4 linked regions of the Neurospora crassa OR74A genome follow. The protein of the gene in region 4 purifies or fractionates together with the protein of the main gene of each other region. This does not show direct contact. Links are inferred from orthologs where the notes say so. Each region holds a gene or a part of one and is shown on either strand. Other genes may lie near its edges.

The links.
Region 1: the proteins of NCU00971 (region 4) and NCU03732 purify together in Saccharomyces cerevisiae (affinity purification with mass spectrometry; 3 studies listed by BioGRID). This does not show direct contact. The link is inferred for Neurospora crassa OR74A from reciprocal best matches to the Saccharomyces cerevisiae genes RPS15 and SIS1.
Region 2: the proteins of NCU00971 (region 4) and stk-52 purify together in Saccharomyces cerevisiae (affinity purification with mass spectrometry; 3 studies listed by BioGRID). This does not show direct contact. The link is inferred for Neurospora crassa OR74A from reciprocal best matches to the Saccharomyces cerevisiae genes RPS15 and RIO1.
Region 3: the proteins of NCU00971 (region 4) and NCU01820 purify together in Saccharomyces cerevisiae (affinity purification with mass spectrometry; 3 studies listed by BioGRID). This does not show direct contact. The link is inferred for Neurospora crassa OR74A from reciprocal best matches to the Saccharomyces cerevisiae genes RPS15 and CRM1.

What each region holds. Positions count from the first base shown.
Region 1 is NC_026505.1:2,238,579-2,242,766, forward strand, and holds NCU03732 (SIS1), read right to left. Parts: upstream 2,864-4,188; 5' UTR 2,429-2,863; coding exon 2,349-2,428; intron 2,186-2,348; coding exon 1,444-2,185; intron 1,369-1,443; coding exon 1,075-1,368; 3' UTR 316-1,074; downstream 1-315. Other genes in the region: NCU03733 (hypothetical protein), read right to left, coding at 3,850-4,188. UniProt on the Saccharomyces cerevisiae protein: Required for nuclear migration during mitosis. It is required for the normal initiation of translation. Might mediate the dissociation of a specific protein complex of the translation machinery. Essential for viability.
Region 2 is NC_026503.1:5,215,454-5,219,520, forward strand, and holds stk-52 (serine/threonine-protein kinase RIO1), read right to left. Parts: upstream 2,819-4,067; 5' UTR 2,573-2,818; intron 2,441-2,572; 5' UTR 2,428-2,440; coding exon 796-2,427; 3' UTR 309-795; downstream 1-308. UniProt on the Saccharomyces cerevisiae protein: Required for the final endonucleolytic cleavage at site D converting 20S pre-rRNA into the mature 18S rRNA. Required for the final steps of cytoplasmic maturation of the 40S ribosomal subunit.
Region 3 is NC_026502.1:2,299,422-2,301,791, reverse strand, and holds the end of NCU01820 (exportin-1), read right to left. Parts: coding exon 1,153-2,370; intron 1,090-1,152; coding exon 852-1,089; 3' UTR 511-851; downstream 1-510. UniProt on the Saccharomyces cerevisiae protein: Receptor for the leucine-rich nuclear export signal (NES).
Region 4 is NC_026501.1:6,539,524-6,543,671, forward strand, and holds NCU00971 (40S ribosomal protein S15), read left to right. Parts: upstream 1-1,333; 5' UTR 1,334-1,519; coding exon 1,520-1,534; intron 1,535-1,727; coding exon 1,728-1,804; intron 1,805-2,120; coding exon 2,121-2,417; intron 2,418-2,479; coding exon 2,480-2,549; 3' UTR 2,550-3,097; downstream 3,098-4,148. Other genes in the region: NCU00972 (arabinogalactan endo-1,4-beta-galactosidase), read left to right, coding at 1-251, 316-766; NCU00970 (hypothetical protein), read right to left, coding at 3,098-4,097. UniProt on the Saccharomyces cerevisiae protein: Component of the ribosome, a large ribonucleoprotein complex responsible for the synthesis of proteins in the cell.

The sequences.
Region 1 (4,188 bases), on a different chromosome or scaffold from region 4:
TGGCGGGGTGTTGGAATGGCTGTTGGGTAGGTAGACGGGCCGACCTAACAATGTCGTTGTCCCTCTTGTTTGTACTTTCAAAAATCCCGTGATGAGAGCCAAGATGAAGTGAAAAGTGGACAAGTTGAATCATCGTTCTTCGCAGTTGGATTCGGCCCCGCCGTGGCTTCCCCCCCTAAGATACGTACACGACTGTGTGTTTATTTGGCCAACTTGTTGTAGCTGGAACTTGCACATATTCCCACATGTCGCTCCGCGTCGTCTTTCAGCAAGTTATGGTTTCTCTCCAAGGTCAAGTCGAGAAAGGGAGAGATTTTCTGGGCACATTGATTTTCATTCTGTAGTAACTATGTCCATCTATCGGTTCTAGCCACCCCGCTTGGTAGTCTATGGTCACGATCAATTTTCTCCTCGTGTGTGTCGTTTGGTGGTGGTGACCGAGGATTGTCACCTTGAATCCATTCCGAGATGCAGTAGTCCAAGCCGTCTTCTATAAAAGATATAGCCATTTGATATCTAAGCCTGCTATGGTATTCCCATTGACGTTGGCCTCGCGTGTCTCTGGCTATTGTTGAACCTTGAGAGGACGCAACATGCTAAGAGAGACCAGCGCCCTTTCCTCTCCCAACATTCACAACAGGGGGCCTAAGAACTTTTGTCGGGGATACTCATTATCATGAAAATTGTCATCATCAGCTCCCACCACACATGCCGCCTAAACCAACAATACCAATCTCAATGCGAGCCTGACGCGATGAAAGCTGAGCACCAAAAGAAGAAACAAATCCAGTAACGCCCAAATATGGTGGACCATGGTCAAGAACCGCACATGGCGGACAGAGACCAAAGCAAATGCCCCCCGGGTAAAAAACAAATCCAACACGCCCACCATTCTACATACACTCAAGGGGGTGGATCCGAACAGGTTCCCGAATGTTGTCAAAGGCCGGCGTTAAAAGCTGTTCTTCAGGCCAATCCAAGACTGCTGGTCCCTTCCTGTTGAGGCGACAAGAAGGACAAAGGTATCCGAGAGTGAACTACCACAGAGAACCGATACTCATCGCTTGACCCCATTTAGAGGATTTCCTTCAGTTTTTCCTTTTGTTCAGGCGTCAAGCTGGTGGGGAACTTGACATTATACTTGACGATGAGGTTGCCCCGTTGGCCTGGTTGCTTCGAGATGGGCATGCCCAGGCCCGGATATACATCTTGGCTCCCAGGTTGTGTCGGGCCGGCCTTCTCAATGTTAATGCTCTTGCCGTCGATCGTCGTGATGGTTCTCTTCCACCCTGTCAATGCCTCCTTGAGGTCTAAGTCGATAGTATGAATTAGGTCGTTGCCGTCCCGAGTGAAAAGCGGATGTGGTTTCTAAAACCACATTGTCAGCTGGCCATTCCTTCAAAAAGGCAATGCGTGAAGAAAGGGAAGGGAGTTTATACGTACCTCTTCGACGACGAACACCAAATCCTGCTGGCCACCCTCTTCTTGATCACCAACACCCTTGAACCGGATTTTGCTACCCTTCTTGAGGCCGGGCTTGATTGGTACCTCCAAGACGGTATCGCTCGTCGTGCGCTTACCGGTCTCGTCAAAGGTCTTGCGCTTGATCTTCATTTTCTTCGTCGTGCCGTGGAACAGATCCTCAAGGGATACGGGTAAGGGGCGTTCAACTGTCGTGACTTCGGGTGTTGCTTGGCGGGCGCTGCGCATGTTGTCGGCGCCGCCGAAGGGGTTTCTCGCAGTTCGGCGCTGTCCTGCACCACCACGCGCAGCATTAAAGAGGATGTCTTCAAAACCCATTCCGCCCATGCCACCACCCATGCCACCACCCATGCCGCCGCCCATCTTTTCATCCCGGAAAGCATCCCGGAAGAGGTCCTCGGGGTTGGTAAAATTGAATCCATAGGAAAATGTTCTCGCACCTCCTCCGCCACCAGGCATGCCTCCTCCTCCAAAGAAAGAAGCAAAGCCCTCGGGCATGCCACCAGCTCCGGCAAATGGGTTTGCGCCGCCCTCAGTCGGGGGCGGGCCGCCTCTCAGGATAAATTCAAGGCCGAACTGATCGTACATCTTGCGTTTCTCGGGATCCGAAAGGATTTCATACGCCTGAGAGCACTCCTTGAATTTTTCGGCAGCCTCCGGGTTGTCCTTGTTCTTGTCGGGGTGCCATTTTAGGGCGGCTTTCCTGGTGAGGGGTCAGCAGGGGTCCACTGAAGGCTGTAAGAGAGGATGATGTGAATGCCAAAGTGAAAGAAGGATGGCGTAGGAAAGAGGAGATCTCTCCCTCGATCTTATACTGCGAGATGCGAGAGCAGTTATGTGGGGTTTCGGGTTGGAGATATGCTCACCTGTAGGCTTTCTTGATCTCGTCCTGGGTAGCCGTAGGGCTGATCCCTAGCAGGTCGTAGAGCTTCGTTTCCTTGACCATCTTTGTGACGCAATATTAGAGACGAGTGTAGTGTATGTGAGTCTAGTAAAAATGTAGAGGCTGTTTCGCGAAGCTTGATCAGAGCCGCGAAGTGTCTCGGCGGTCGTTAGGTGCAAGGGAGAACAATTAACCCGACGTGTTCTGTGTTGTTGTAGTGGTACGGGTAGGGTAATTAAGGTAGAGTGAGGTAGCGATGACAGATGCGTATTAGACGTTAGCGATTCTATAGCGCTCGTGGGTCCTTTGGATGGCTCGTAAAGCGCCTGTCAAAGTCGATCTTGATGGAATGCGCGAGAGCAAATTCGCAATGCAAGAGTAGGGATTTCAGATATTGAACAGAATTGAGATGCAACACAGAGTCGGAGAGGAAGCTATCACTTGGTGGAAGAGGGAGGGACAAGGCCATAAAATGCCTTGGCGAAGGGCGTGTGTAGCAGGAACAGGAGGTTGTAGAACCTTCGACCGTGAGCCTATCGGCTTCCAAGACCTGGAGATAGTGACGCAGGGCTCGCGTAGTGGGTACATGCTAAAAGTAGCGCCTGTTAGTAATCTTCATGTCCCCGAGCAGTTTGCTGCTGCAGGGAAAGAGTAATACTAACAATGTAAGTCCAGGCCAAGTCCCCACTAACTGATGCGGGCCGCCAAGCCAGCTAGCAGGAAGGGAAGCTCCATTAAGTAGTTGACCTTCGCTTGACCTCAGCGAAACTGTGCTAGCAGTCTGCTGAGCGGTTGGGACGCGTCCGGAGCACCTATCAAAGATGAACATCATCACCCAGCACCTTCGATGGGCTGCACATCACCAGATATTTGAAAGTTAGATCCAGCTCAGTTCGTCATACCAGTATACCCATTCGCCCGCAATCCCATTCTTCTGGTACTCACTCGCATCGATGAAACAGGATGGATTGCCGTAAATCATGATCGCGATTCCAATCAATCATCCTTACATTGTGCCTTATTACAAGGCAACGAAGAAGGTTGCACAACCTCATGGAAGCCAACAGCAAGCAACGGCCGCACTCGATCTTTTAATGACAGCCCCATGATAAGGAAAATCCGCGACAACTCCACACAAATGAGGCCTGGATAGCTCACCATAGAACTTGTAGTCAGGAGCAGATCAAAGTCAAAGCATGTCTTCAAGAACTTCTCCATATGAAGGATTAAACTAGTTCGTCAAATATGTGTCATCAACCACCAAGGAGAAGCAAAGCGGGACTCTATTTCTCGAATCACGACGGTACAGAGCAGATCTAGAACAAGTTAGACCTGAGGCCTACTGTCATGACTTTCCAAATAAGCCCGGTTGACCTGCTCTGATGACCCCTGACGAAGGCAAAAAAAAAAAAAAAAAAAAGGTGCAAAAACACGCCAAAACAAACACCGAGAAGAATAATCCACGTTGCTCGGTATGTCCTAACTCAAACCGCTTCGTACACATAGAGAGTCGAATTCCTTTCATCGGGCAGGAAGAACAGCCTCATCTTACCGTCCACGACAGCCACATCCATTGGATTCTTGGTCATTGCAGCACCATGTTCCGACACCAAGGTCACAGGAACCTCGTGTAAAGGAACCATAGTTTCCATGTCCACTATCGCGATACCGCCGATTCTCGTGTTCGCCAAGTCTGCAACGCCAGAGCATAACATCACTGGCCGGGTCTCGTAAAGCTCGTAACGACCCAGGAATTTGCAATCCTGATAGTCAATGAAGCTGCTCGGATTCCTGACCACTGCCCGCGGCTGAGTGAACTTGGC
Region 2 (4,067 bases), on a different chromosome or scaffold from region 4:
CATCCACGAGTAAACGCACCCCTTCCAGAAACGCTTACCAGGTTGACGCAAAAACTGAAGTTGGCTATGAGGTTGGCCGTCAATCTCGAAAGATATGTAAAGAAGCCTTTTACTTTCATCCACTGAAAGTAAGAAGCTCCGACGTTCCTGAAAGGTCCCTCCCGCCACAGCGCAACTCCGGCCCTCTCAAAATATATCACCACTGGAAACATCTACTGAGGGGATAAAAAAAAGGAGAAATAAAGAAAGGGGAATGGGGAGCGTATAGTAGAGGCATCTTCCTCTTTATAAGTACATATTAAAGGCAACAGGAGACTACTGGAATCTCCATGGGATTAATAGGCGCCCAGTATGGGAGCAGACCGTCAGTGCTCTCTTTGGTCGTCATAGCCCGGCTTGACCACTCTTTAGGTGGCTCGCCAGCGACTCAGACCTGCCTTCTGAGAAAGTGTCTCTACTCGAAAGCAGGAGGCTTCGCCCTGAAAACAGGCAAAACCATTACAAGCTCGTTTGAGGAGACGACAATCTCAGGCAGGCTTTACTGCTTTCATCATCCGGTTGCTTTACTTGCTGCGTCTGTGTCGCAAGGGATGATGGCCAAAAGTGTAGCCAGATCAAACGGGATGGGGTGAGGTATGAGAGAGAAACGCCAAACGCATCAAAGCAGGATACGCAGGCTGGAAGATGACATGATCCATTATTCTTTTAGCGCCATAGAAGCCATACCCGAGCCCATTAGCAAACAAGACAAGAGAAAGAAACCAAGAAAAGCTGATACTTGTAGACGACCACAGCTTAGTGCTTCCTCCTCGACGTGCTGTTCACCAACTTCTTCTTCATCGCCTTGGGTATCTTCTCTTTCCTCTTCTCCCTCTTGGCCTCCTTAACCGCCGCCTTGTGCTGCTTCTTTTCGTCCTTGTCGATGAACCTCTTGCCTCTTGGTGTTCCCTTTTCGAATCGGCTCTCGTCATCCTCGTCATCACTACCCTCCTCTTCGTCACCACTGCCCTCCTCCTCCTCATCAGACTCCTCCTCTTCCTGATCCTCCGCCGTCTTGTGCACCACTTGATCCGCCAACAGGTTCTTGTATACCAAATCCTCTCCTTGACCCTCGTTTACCTTGGCGACATCCTTCTCGATATCGTAAACCTCGTTCAGCGTCTTGGGGATGTACTGGTTTCTGAAAACCTCATTGTCGACCTCCTGCTCGGCCCTGGCCTCCGCGGTATCCTCCACCTCCACCCTCGTCTGGTACAGCTGTTCGACCGTCTCCTTCATACCGGGTTCCTCGGCCGGTCCCTTGGGGTTGACGATGAAATCGAAAATCGTGCGGTCTGAGAGCGTGTCGACACCCTTCCTCCTGAAGAAATCGCCGACGTTCTTGATATCCATACGCAGGAACTCGAGCGAGTGGGGATGGTCGTGCTCGACGGATTGGGAAACATCAATGATGTAGAGCTTCTTGTTGTTGTAGAGGATGTTGTATTCCGACAGATCGGCGTGGACGAGGCGGCAGACTTGGTACAGCTTGCGCATGAGGCCGAGGAGTTGGATGTAGAGGTCGCGCCATTGTTCATCGGCGTCGTCGCCCGAGATGGGAGCGTCGCGCAAACGGGGGTAGGCCCAGCCCTTGCGATCTCCCAAGAAGCTCATGACGAGCACGTGCAGCTTGAGCTTGATGGGCTCCGGGCAGGGGATGCCGGCTGTGTACAAACGGCGCAGGTTTCTGAATTCCTTTTCGGCCCAGAGCTTGACCATCTTCCTGTTGTTTCCCTTTTCACTGCCGCTCTTGAAGCGGTGTTCACCAGTAATGTACTTCTCGCGATCCTTGAACACCAGAATGGCCGTCTTGTAGATCTTGATGGCCTTGTGTATGGGGGCCGAGCCATCCTCGGGGTGGAGTATGGCACCGTAGACGTTGGCTTCCTTGCCCGTGCTGATGGCGCCGTGAATCTCGGAGACAAAGCCCTGGTTGATCATCTGCAGCAGGATCATGCGCGTGCGCTGGTCGAGGACGAGTTCGGAGGTGGCGCGATCGGACTTGTCTTTGCTGCGCTCGGCGGGACCGGAGGCATTGTCGAAGGCGTCGATGCGGATCTTTCCGGCGAACTTGGAGAGGGCGGCGATCTGGTCGTCGACGCGGGCCGACGTGTTGGCTGTGGGTTTTTGTTGCTGGGCCTGAGCTTGGGACTGCTGAGAGTTGGTAGCACCGGCGCCATGTTGTTGGCGGTTGTACGACTTGGTCAGGTCGGTGCCGCCATCTTCGTAGTCGAGGTCATCGTCGGATTCAAAGACATCTTGGAGGTCGTCGTCGTCGTCTTCCTCTTCGATCGCAAGGTTGTTGAGCTGGGCGGTGGTGTTGCTGAGGTCGACATTCTGGTTGTCGGTCGCCGCTGTGGTCGACGTGAGTTCTGGTTGGGACGCCATCTTGCTGCCGAGTCTGCTTTCGTCAGTTCCGCCGATATCAGCAGGTGGTGATGAGACAGGATGGCAGACGAAATGGAAATCGTCATGGAACTTGCGAACTTCCACTTCCCGTCCACTGGCAATTTTCTTGGTGGGGCGAGCTTACCTTATCTTATCGTAATGCGGGGTGTCTTCCAGTGGTAGGGCTGTTTTCGAGATTCAGGGTTAGGGTAATCCGTGAGTATCGAGTTCTTGACGACGACTCGACTCGAAGACGGATTGGAATGGAACTGAAGATGTTCTTGGATGTTTCCGTTCCACATGATATGGCTGCTTGTTAAGTAGTCTTCGGCTCACTTTAGGCTTCAGCATTCATAACATCTTTTCTTGCCTCTCCGAGTACAGACATTGCACCCCTGCACCGATGGCGACCAGTTTGCCACTGGAGTGAGCTTGTCGCCTAATAGTTAGTACGCTAGGCGATGATGCTGACGCTATCATTCTGATTCATTCCACTTCCACATTCATTCCTTGAGCTTTGGTTTGCATCTTCGACATCTCAACACGGTGCGGAACACACCTACTTCTGCCGGTGACTCAATCAACGCCAACAGCACTAACAGCACCCAGTGTACGCTTCCCTGTTGGACAGAACCCAGCTGTTAGTGCTCAAAAGGGGCGACCACCCAAAAGCCAATTCTCCACCCATGGGGCATAGGCCGATCCCCAAAGTCATCAAGCTAGCAATGGACACCATGGTCCCGGGTAATTACAGGGAAACCTAACATCATCCTTCTTACATTCCATTTTACTCACGGTCAAATCTGGTATATGACCTCTGGATATTTGCGTCTCATCAATGGAAACGATGGAGACTTGCAATCAAAGTAAACCCATCACGACCTTCTGGCCTGCTTCCACCTCATCCTGCAGGCATACATTGACATGACGCGTTTAGATGATTCGATTCATGGTCGTTGATGACTCCCACGTCAACAAACGGATAATGGGTCATCGACCACCCGAGTTCAGGAATGAACATATTTACATCATGTGTGAGCCGCAACTTGATGTCAACACGGAGCATATAATAGCACAGGGCCACAGTTTCCAACATCCAATAGGTAGGCGCGTCTCCCAATTCCCTTTTTATTTTATTCCGGCAACCCCCATCGGGATTCCAGCCTTGCCTAAACGGGCTCACAACTTCACTCACCATGTGCCACTCCTACATGGAACATCACTTTTGCCGTAATGGCGCCGATTGTCCAGCCGGCTATGGCTGGGTCAACGAGCAAGGGCAGCTGTACCGACGATGGTTCGAGCGCACTAGAAGACGGGTTTACTGCTATGCCAGTAGCAGCGACTGCCCAACCCGCAAGCGGGTGTTGATGACTGACTTATTCGTTTCAAGACGGATTGATGAGCTGTGTCCCCTTTGCTCGGCCGCAGCATGATTGGTATGGGAACAGTAATGGCGATGAGGTTGCTAGGGGGATATTTAGTCATTTGGGTCAAGGTCACCCGGGGCCTTAGAGATCTATTCGGAAACTTTGTTTTATGCTCGGAGTTTCCATAGATTGCTTTGATGCTCTGCCCCATTTCATGTCGAACATTCGCTTCTTTATTCCCTCCGAGCCTCAACTCTCAAATATCCCCCC
Region 3 (2,370 bases), on a different chromosome or scaffold from region 4:
GAAGATGCAAAGTAGATGGAAACCCAGTCCAGTCAGTTCACCAGGTAGGTATAAAAGTCAATGCCGTGACTCAATTAGTGAGTGAAAACACAACTCAAAGTAAAAGGTGATCACTAGCTTCAGATGAGACCAGTTCTGGAGTGTGAAAAAAAATAGACACCTGCTGTTCTGGTGGACGGACTGCAGTGCGTCAAGAGAACGATCGAATATTGGACAAGTGTCTAAACTTGTTATCGGTATGTAGTCGGCATACACTGAAGCGTCTTAGCACCAGACCACTGCAAAGGATGTGCGCAGGAAGGCGAGCAATGAGGGCACCACGCACCAACTGGCTACTTTGCCGGAACAACCAAGTCGGTCAGCAACACCTTCCCCCCATTGTCGTGTTGTTGACTACTCTTCACAAGTATCACCCTTGAATCTCCGGATGTGAACCAGACAAGCGTACTGCCACCCACCCAATCTTCTTATGATTAATAACACAAAAAGTGAGAGGAACAGATACAAGAGGCTGGCAGCATGCTACTCATTCAATAGTATTTGGCTGATTCTAGCGGGTCGGCTCTTGATAAAATGCCGGGTTGGGTTTCATACAAGAAATACGACTGATTTGGTGACTTACATAAACACAAAAAGAAAAAAGAACGCCGCCATATTTCATTTCACAGACCATAGAACTCCCATCCATCGCCACCGAATTGGTCGTGATCCTTGCCGCCGCCGCTTCTTTTTCCTTTCGTCATATCACCAGCACCAGCCAGCCCATTCATGTGTGGCTGCTCTGGTGGTACGTCATTTCGGCGCGACTCGTAAGTCGGCGCAAACTCATTCCTAAGCTCCTCTCCAACTAGTCACAGCTCATCGTCCTCGAGCTCGCTGGGTTTCAGCAGGCCGCTGACCTTGGATCTCCTCTCGATATCGGCCGCCTTGGCCGCCGTCTCTTGCTGCTCCTTCTCCAGGAGGTAGAGCTCGGCATTGTCGCCGGCGAATTCTCTAAGGGAGATAAGGAAGTCACGCAACGCGAGGCGGAACTTGTCGTACTGGGTGTTAAGGGTGAAGAGTCCCTCAACAAACGAGGTAATCTGGGCACTGTTTTGCACTTTTGGTTAGCTCGGTACCTTACAAGGTCCGAAGGTGGGGAAGAAAACTTACGGCGTGAGGTTGGCAAAAGCGGTCTGCAGCAGATTACCCACGAACATGGTGAGGAACTCCTTGTTGCTAGTGCCTGGCTGGGCCTGATCGGGCTGGTAAATGGGGCCCTGAATCCTCGAGGGCGAGCCATCGGCGGGGTGGACAAAGTAGAACATGCGCATGAGCAACATGGACTGGGTCTTGAAGCCAGCCTTGTGGTCCTGGTCGGTTAGAACGAAGAACACATCCTGCAGAATGCTGACAAAGAATTGGTTGAAGAAAGCGTTGGAGGTCTGAACGTCAGTCTTCTCAGCAATGTTGTTGACGAGCTCCAGGCACATGTTAAGGCCCGCAGTCTCAACGTCGCGGTTGTCGTGCTTGCTAGCCCACATGCACGAATCAATAACAAACTTGAACTGACGGTTATCAAGCTTCAAAAGCGCAGGGAAGCAGTGAAGGTTGATAGCGCGGAGGAGGTTGAAGAACTCGACACGGTGTTCGGGGTATTCGGAGAAGTTCTTGTTGATCATGTCCAGCGTGCATTCGAAGACATTCTCCATGATGATCGGTACCTGGTCCTCCATCAAAGCCGAGAGCTTAGTGATCATGGCGGTCATGGCCCTCAAGACTTCAGCGTCACGAGCACCAGGAACGTTACGGTTGTAGTCAACAAGCACCGAGTCCAAGAGAGGAGGCACCATCTGCTCCCGCACGGCCTGGAGGTCCTCAGCCTTGTCGACATAGGTCTCAATAAGCTTGAGAATTTCCTTCTTGATGGTTCGGAGCCCGCGGACCTTGGGCATCTTGGTAGCAATCTCACCCTCGCGAGCAACAGCCTCAGAAATCAGCTGACTGGTGGCGGCATACATCTGAAGCATGTCGCTATAGAGGTTGCCGATCTGAGGGAAGAAATAGGTACCAATAGATGAGCATGCCGAGACGTTGGTCTTCATGATGTTGCCAATAACCTTGATGGTGTCCGCATCCTGGAGGATGTTAGGGTTGAGGCTAGCTTGCCTGATAATCTCCTGCCACGCCATATTGGGAATCTGCATGAGCTCAGAAAGCAGCCTTTCCTGCTGGTGCCTATTGCCTTGAGCAGCTACCATGTAGCCGCAAGCCTCATAGAAAGTATGTACCTGTTGAGGAGTCAAGTCGCAAGTGATCTTGCCAAGGTCCCTGATGATCTCCTCAATGAAAGGCTGAGACTCGCTAGGCTGGAGCGCAACAAAGTGGCGT
Region 4 (4,148 bases):
ACCGCCATTGACGACCTGGCCTGGAAGCTATACAACTACACCTTCGATGCGTCGAACCAGTTCCATGATAATGGTGTGCAACCGGCCATTATTTCCATCGGCAATGAGATCACCGGCGGTCTGCTTTGGCCGACGGGAGGCACTTCTTCGTGGTATAACATCGCGCGCTTGCTGCACTCAGCGTCTGCCGGTATTAGAGACTCGAGGCTGAACCCCAAGCCCAAAATCATGATCCATCTTGACAACGGATGGTAGGTCCCCTTGCTGTTTAAAACCGGATCCTGTATAGAGCTAACATCTGGCCAACCACCACAGGAACTGGGACACCCAGAACTGGTGGTATACAAATGTGTTGAAGCAAGGGCCTTTGGTGTCTTCCGACTTTGACATGATGGGGGTCTCGTTCTATCCCTTTTACACGCCCTCGGCGACTCTGTCGTCCTTGAAGTCAAGCTTGACAAACATGGCGAACAGATGGGGCAAAGAGCTCGTCGTTGCTGAGACCGACTGGCCAAGCTCATGCCCAAACCCGGCATATGCGTTTCCGTCAGACGCCAAGAACATCCCCTTCAACGCCGCCGGCCAGTCGCAGTGGATCAAGGCCGTGGCAAACGTGGTAGCTTCTGTGCCCAAGGGCAAGGGACTGTTCTATTGGGAACCCGCTTGGATTCACAATGCCAACTTGGGCTCATCGTGTGCGAGTAACAGTATGTTCTCGAACTCGGGGCAGGCCTTGTCCAGTCTGTCAGTGTTCCACAACATCTGAAGAGGAGCGGCTGAGGATGAGAAAGGATATGTAGAGGGGAATTCAGGTCCTGCGGATGTCCAGACTAGGGTGGTAGATAAGATAAGAAGCACAATGTGACCTTGGTACATAGTTGCCTGCCTCCAAAAACACCAATTGTGAAAAGATGACGAGAGGCAATGCGTGACCGGCGAACTGCTGGCATGCTTGATGCTTAAATATGTGTCAGGCCAATGCTGTGAATAAACTTGGTGCTCGGACTTTTGACCAAAAATAGCGAGGAAATTTGGGAAATGACAGAATGTAGTCATCCGGTGGTTGGCTTCGTACCGGGATGACACAGCGGGAATGAATGAGGTGATGATGCTTCATCCGTCCAGTCGCGACGAAGACCGCGTTACGTATGGTGATCGGGTGTGTACTAAAGCAAGTACCGTGATGGCCAGTGACTATCAAGAACCTGGTGCGCCACAGGTTGGCTCATGCCGGATTCACAGCAAAAACCTTGGTTGTCCAGCCACATCCATGGCCTCAGCCACAACACAGCTCAAGCGCGCTGGGGCGGGGCTGTTGAGGGCACAGAGCCCTACGAATTTTCCCCGGTGGGTCCTACGGACAGACGTGCACCGCCCACCCGCCGCCACTGGCTAGAGGTTTTGCTTGCTGTGAGGGCCGGAATCCTAAATCCACTCCCATCATCGCGACAGTCAGATTTTCGCTCTTCGATACCCCGACGAACAGCGAAATCGTGATCACCAACCACCTACCGCAAAGATGGCTGACGAATACGTACGTGCCCTTCATTTTATGATAACGATGATGCCAAACACATATCATCGTGTACTTCCCAGCGGACGGCGGCCATAATCGAATTGGTCCCCTCCCGACGACAACGACCACACACACGCACACAAAATTGCACACCCTCAGAATGAGAATGAGGAAAATGGGCAGAACGGAAGACTGACCTTTTACGCTGTAGAACGCCGAGGAGGCCGCTGAGCTCAAGAAGAAGAGAACCTTCCGCAAGTTCTCTTACAGGGGTATCGATCTCGATGCGTAGGTTCTCCCGCTTGTTCGCCATTTTGAGATTCCAAATTCCGAAGAGAGCAAGCCGGCCAGCCAGCTAGACGACCAAACCAAACCGACCGGGAATATCACGATATATTTCGAGCCAGACATGCGACGTCATTCCATTACCGATAAGAGAGAAAAGGGGAAAGCGGCACTCACTCGACATCAACAATTACTGGGGGATTGGGCAGTTTTGGATGGCTCGGTCGGCTTGCTCAAATCAGAAGGGAACATATGCTGCGCTCGCGATGCGCCATGACACATGAAAGCACATGTGCTGACAGCAACCTCTTACGTGCAGTCTCCTCGACCTTGGCTCCGATGAGCTCCGCGATGTCGTCCACGCCCGTGCCCGTCGCAGGATCAACCGTGGCCTCAAGCGCAAGCCCATGGGCTTGATCAAGAAGCTCCGCAAGGCTAAGCAGGAGGCTAAGCCCAACGAGAAGCCCGACCTCGTCAAGACCCACCTCCGTGACATGATCGTTGTCCCCGAGATGATTGGCAGCGTCATCGGTATCTACTCCGGCAAGGAGTTCAACCAGGTTGAGATCAAGCCTGAGATGGTTGGCCACTACCTCGCTGAGTTCTCTATCTCCTAGTACGTTATCCCCTGCCCCTGTCGAATAATCAGGGAGACGTGTGTGCTAACTACGGTTACAGCAAGCCCGTCAAGCACGGTCGCCCCGGTATCGGTGCTACCCACTCTTCTCGTTTCATTCCTCTCAAGTAAATGCTCTGGGAAATGGGTGGTACTTGCATTTTGTCTCAAATCATGGGTTCGGCGAAAACGGACGCGGGTTTGCTCATTTGGTCATGGCATGGACAAATGTGCCAGGGACTATCTTAGTTTTGACGAGATAGTACAAACGAGTAATGATGAGTGCAACGTTCTAGGTGATCACACACATAGCTCTTGTCCGCGGTTTCCTTGATTGAGCTTTGCTGAATGAGGAGAACAATAAAACAGAACTCCCTTGGATTATCGTATCTAGCCTGCCTTATTCATCACTTCGCAGATTGATCCTTTCTTAGTATCAAGATTTGAATATAAATCATAAACACACATATCCCCGTTACGGAACTCTAACCTACCCTCGCTGACTAGGCCGTTTCCCAGCATACCAACGTCATCGAGCATACAGGTCCTCATCTGTTAATCATCCTACCAGCCCTCTGCTATGGCCTTGCCTAGCCTCACCCATCCTGCACTACTCAACAGTCACCATCACGTCCTCAACCTCCTCCTCAACTCCCTCAAGCGACCGAACGCACCGTCCCTCACAGCACGCCGCAACAATACCCCATAAAGGTATCCCTACACGTCGCACATTCACACACGAACCCTTTTTCCTTTTTCCCATAGTCCCACGTCAGCTGCTCGCCTTCTTTGATATCCCTCCTAGCCTGCACGCAAATGTGTTTTGGTTTCACAAAGTGGGCCAGCCCCGAGGCACCAATGCGCCACTCGCAGTTTGGGCCGCGCTCGGTACGCTTGCGCGCCACGTAAGCCGAGGAGGAGGAGGAGGAGGGCGAAGTGCAGCAGTGGTTGATGAGGGAGCCAAGGAGGTAGATGCAGGCGTCCGAGTTTGTGGTTGGTGTTGGGGGTGTGCTTGTGGATATTGATGCGGAGGCTGTTGAGGATGATGTAATGGGCGATAGAGTGTTGGTGGTTATTATTGTTGGTGAGACCGGGGGTGATAATGGTGAGGGCAGATGAGGGATGTCGGTCGCGGTTGGGATAGCGGTGGTCCGTTTAACCTGGAAGGCATAATGTTTGAAGAAATCGTGACACGCCTTTTGTCGGTCTTCCTCCGTCGGGTTGGCGATGAGCATCTCGCTCACGCCAGCCACGTACGTCTCGTACTCTTCCCGCGTGATGATCGAGCCGGCAAACCGGCCGTGCACGAGGTTCCTGCCAAAGAATTTCTTCCTTGAACTGGTCACGTCGGGCTCGATAGACTCGGCAGAGAAGATGGGCTCAGCGTCTTCCCAGGGGGCAGGCGGGATACCGTTGCGGGCGGCGAGTATAGGGAAGGCGAGCGTGACGATGTCTTGGCCGCCGTCGGCTAGGGCGGCCTTGTAAGCCTGGTGTTGGCTGTGCATCAGGGAGACGTCGGCCGAGAACTTCTCGTTGAAGAGGGCCGTCATGAGAGGCGCCTCGTGGAAAATGAATTCGTCCTTAGTAAAGTCGCGGGCGGCGAAGAGGCCATAACCTACGCCGGCGCCCACCAGGCCGATGCGTACAGCCGGAGCATCCTTGGGCGCGTTACGTAGGAATCTGGCTGGCAGCTAAGTGGACGACATATCAGCAAGGTGTCTGAAAAGAGAA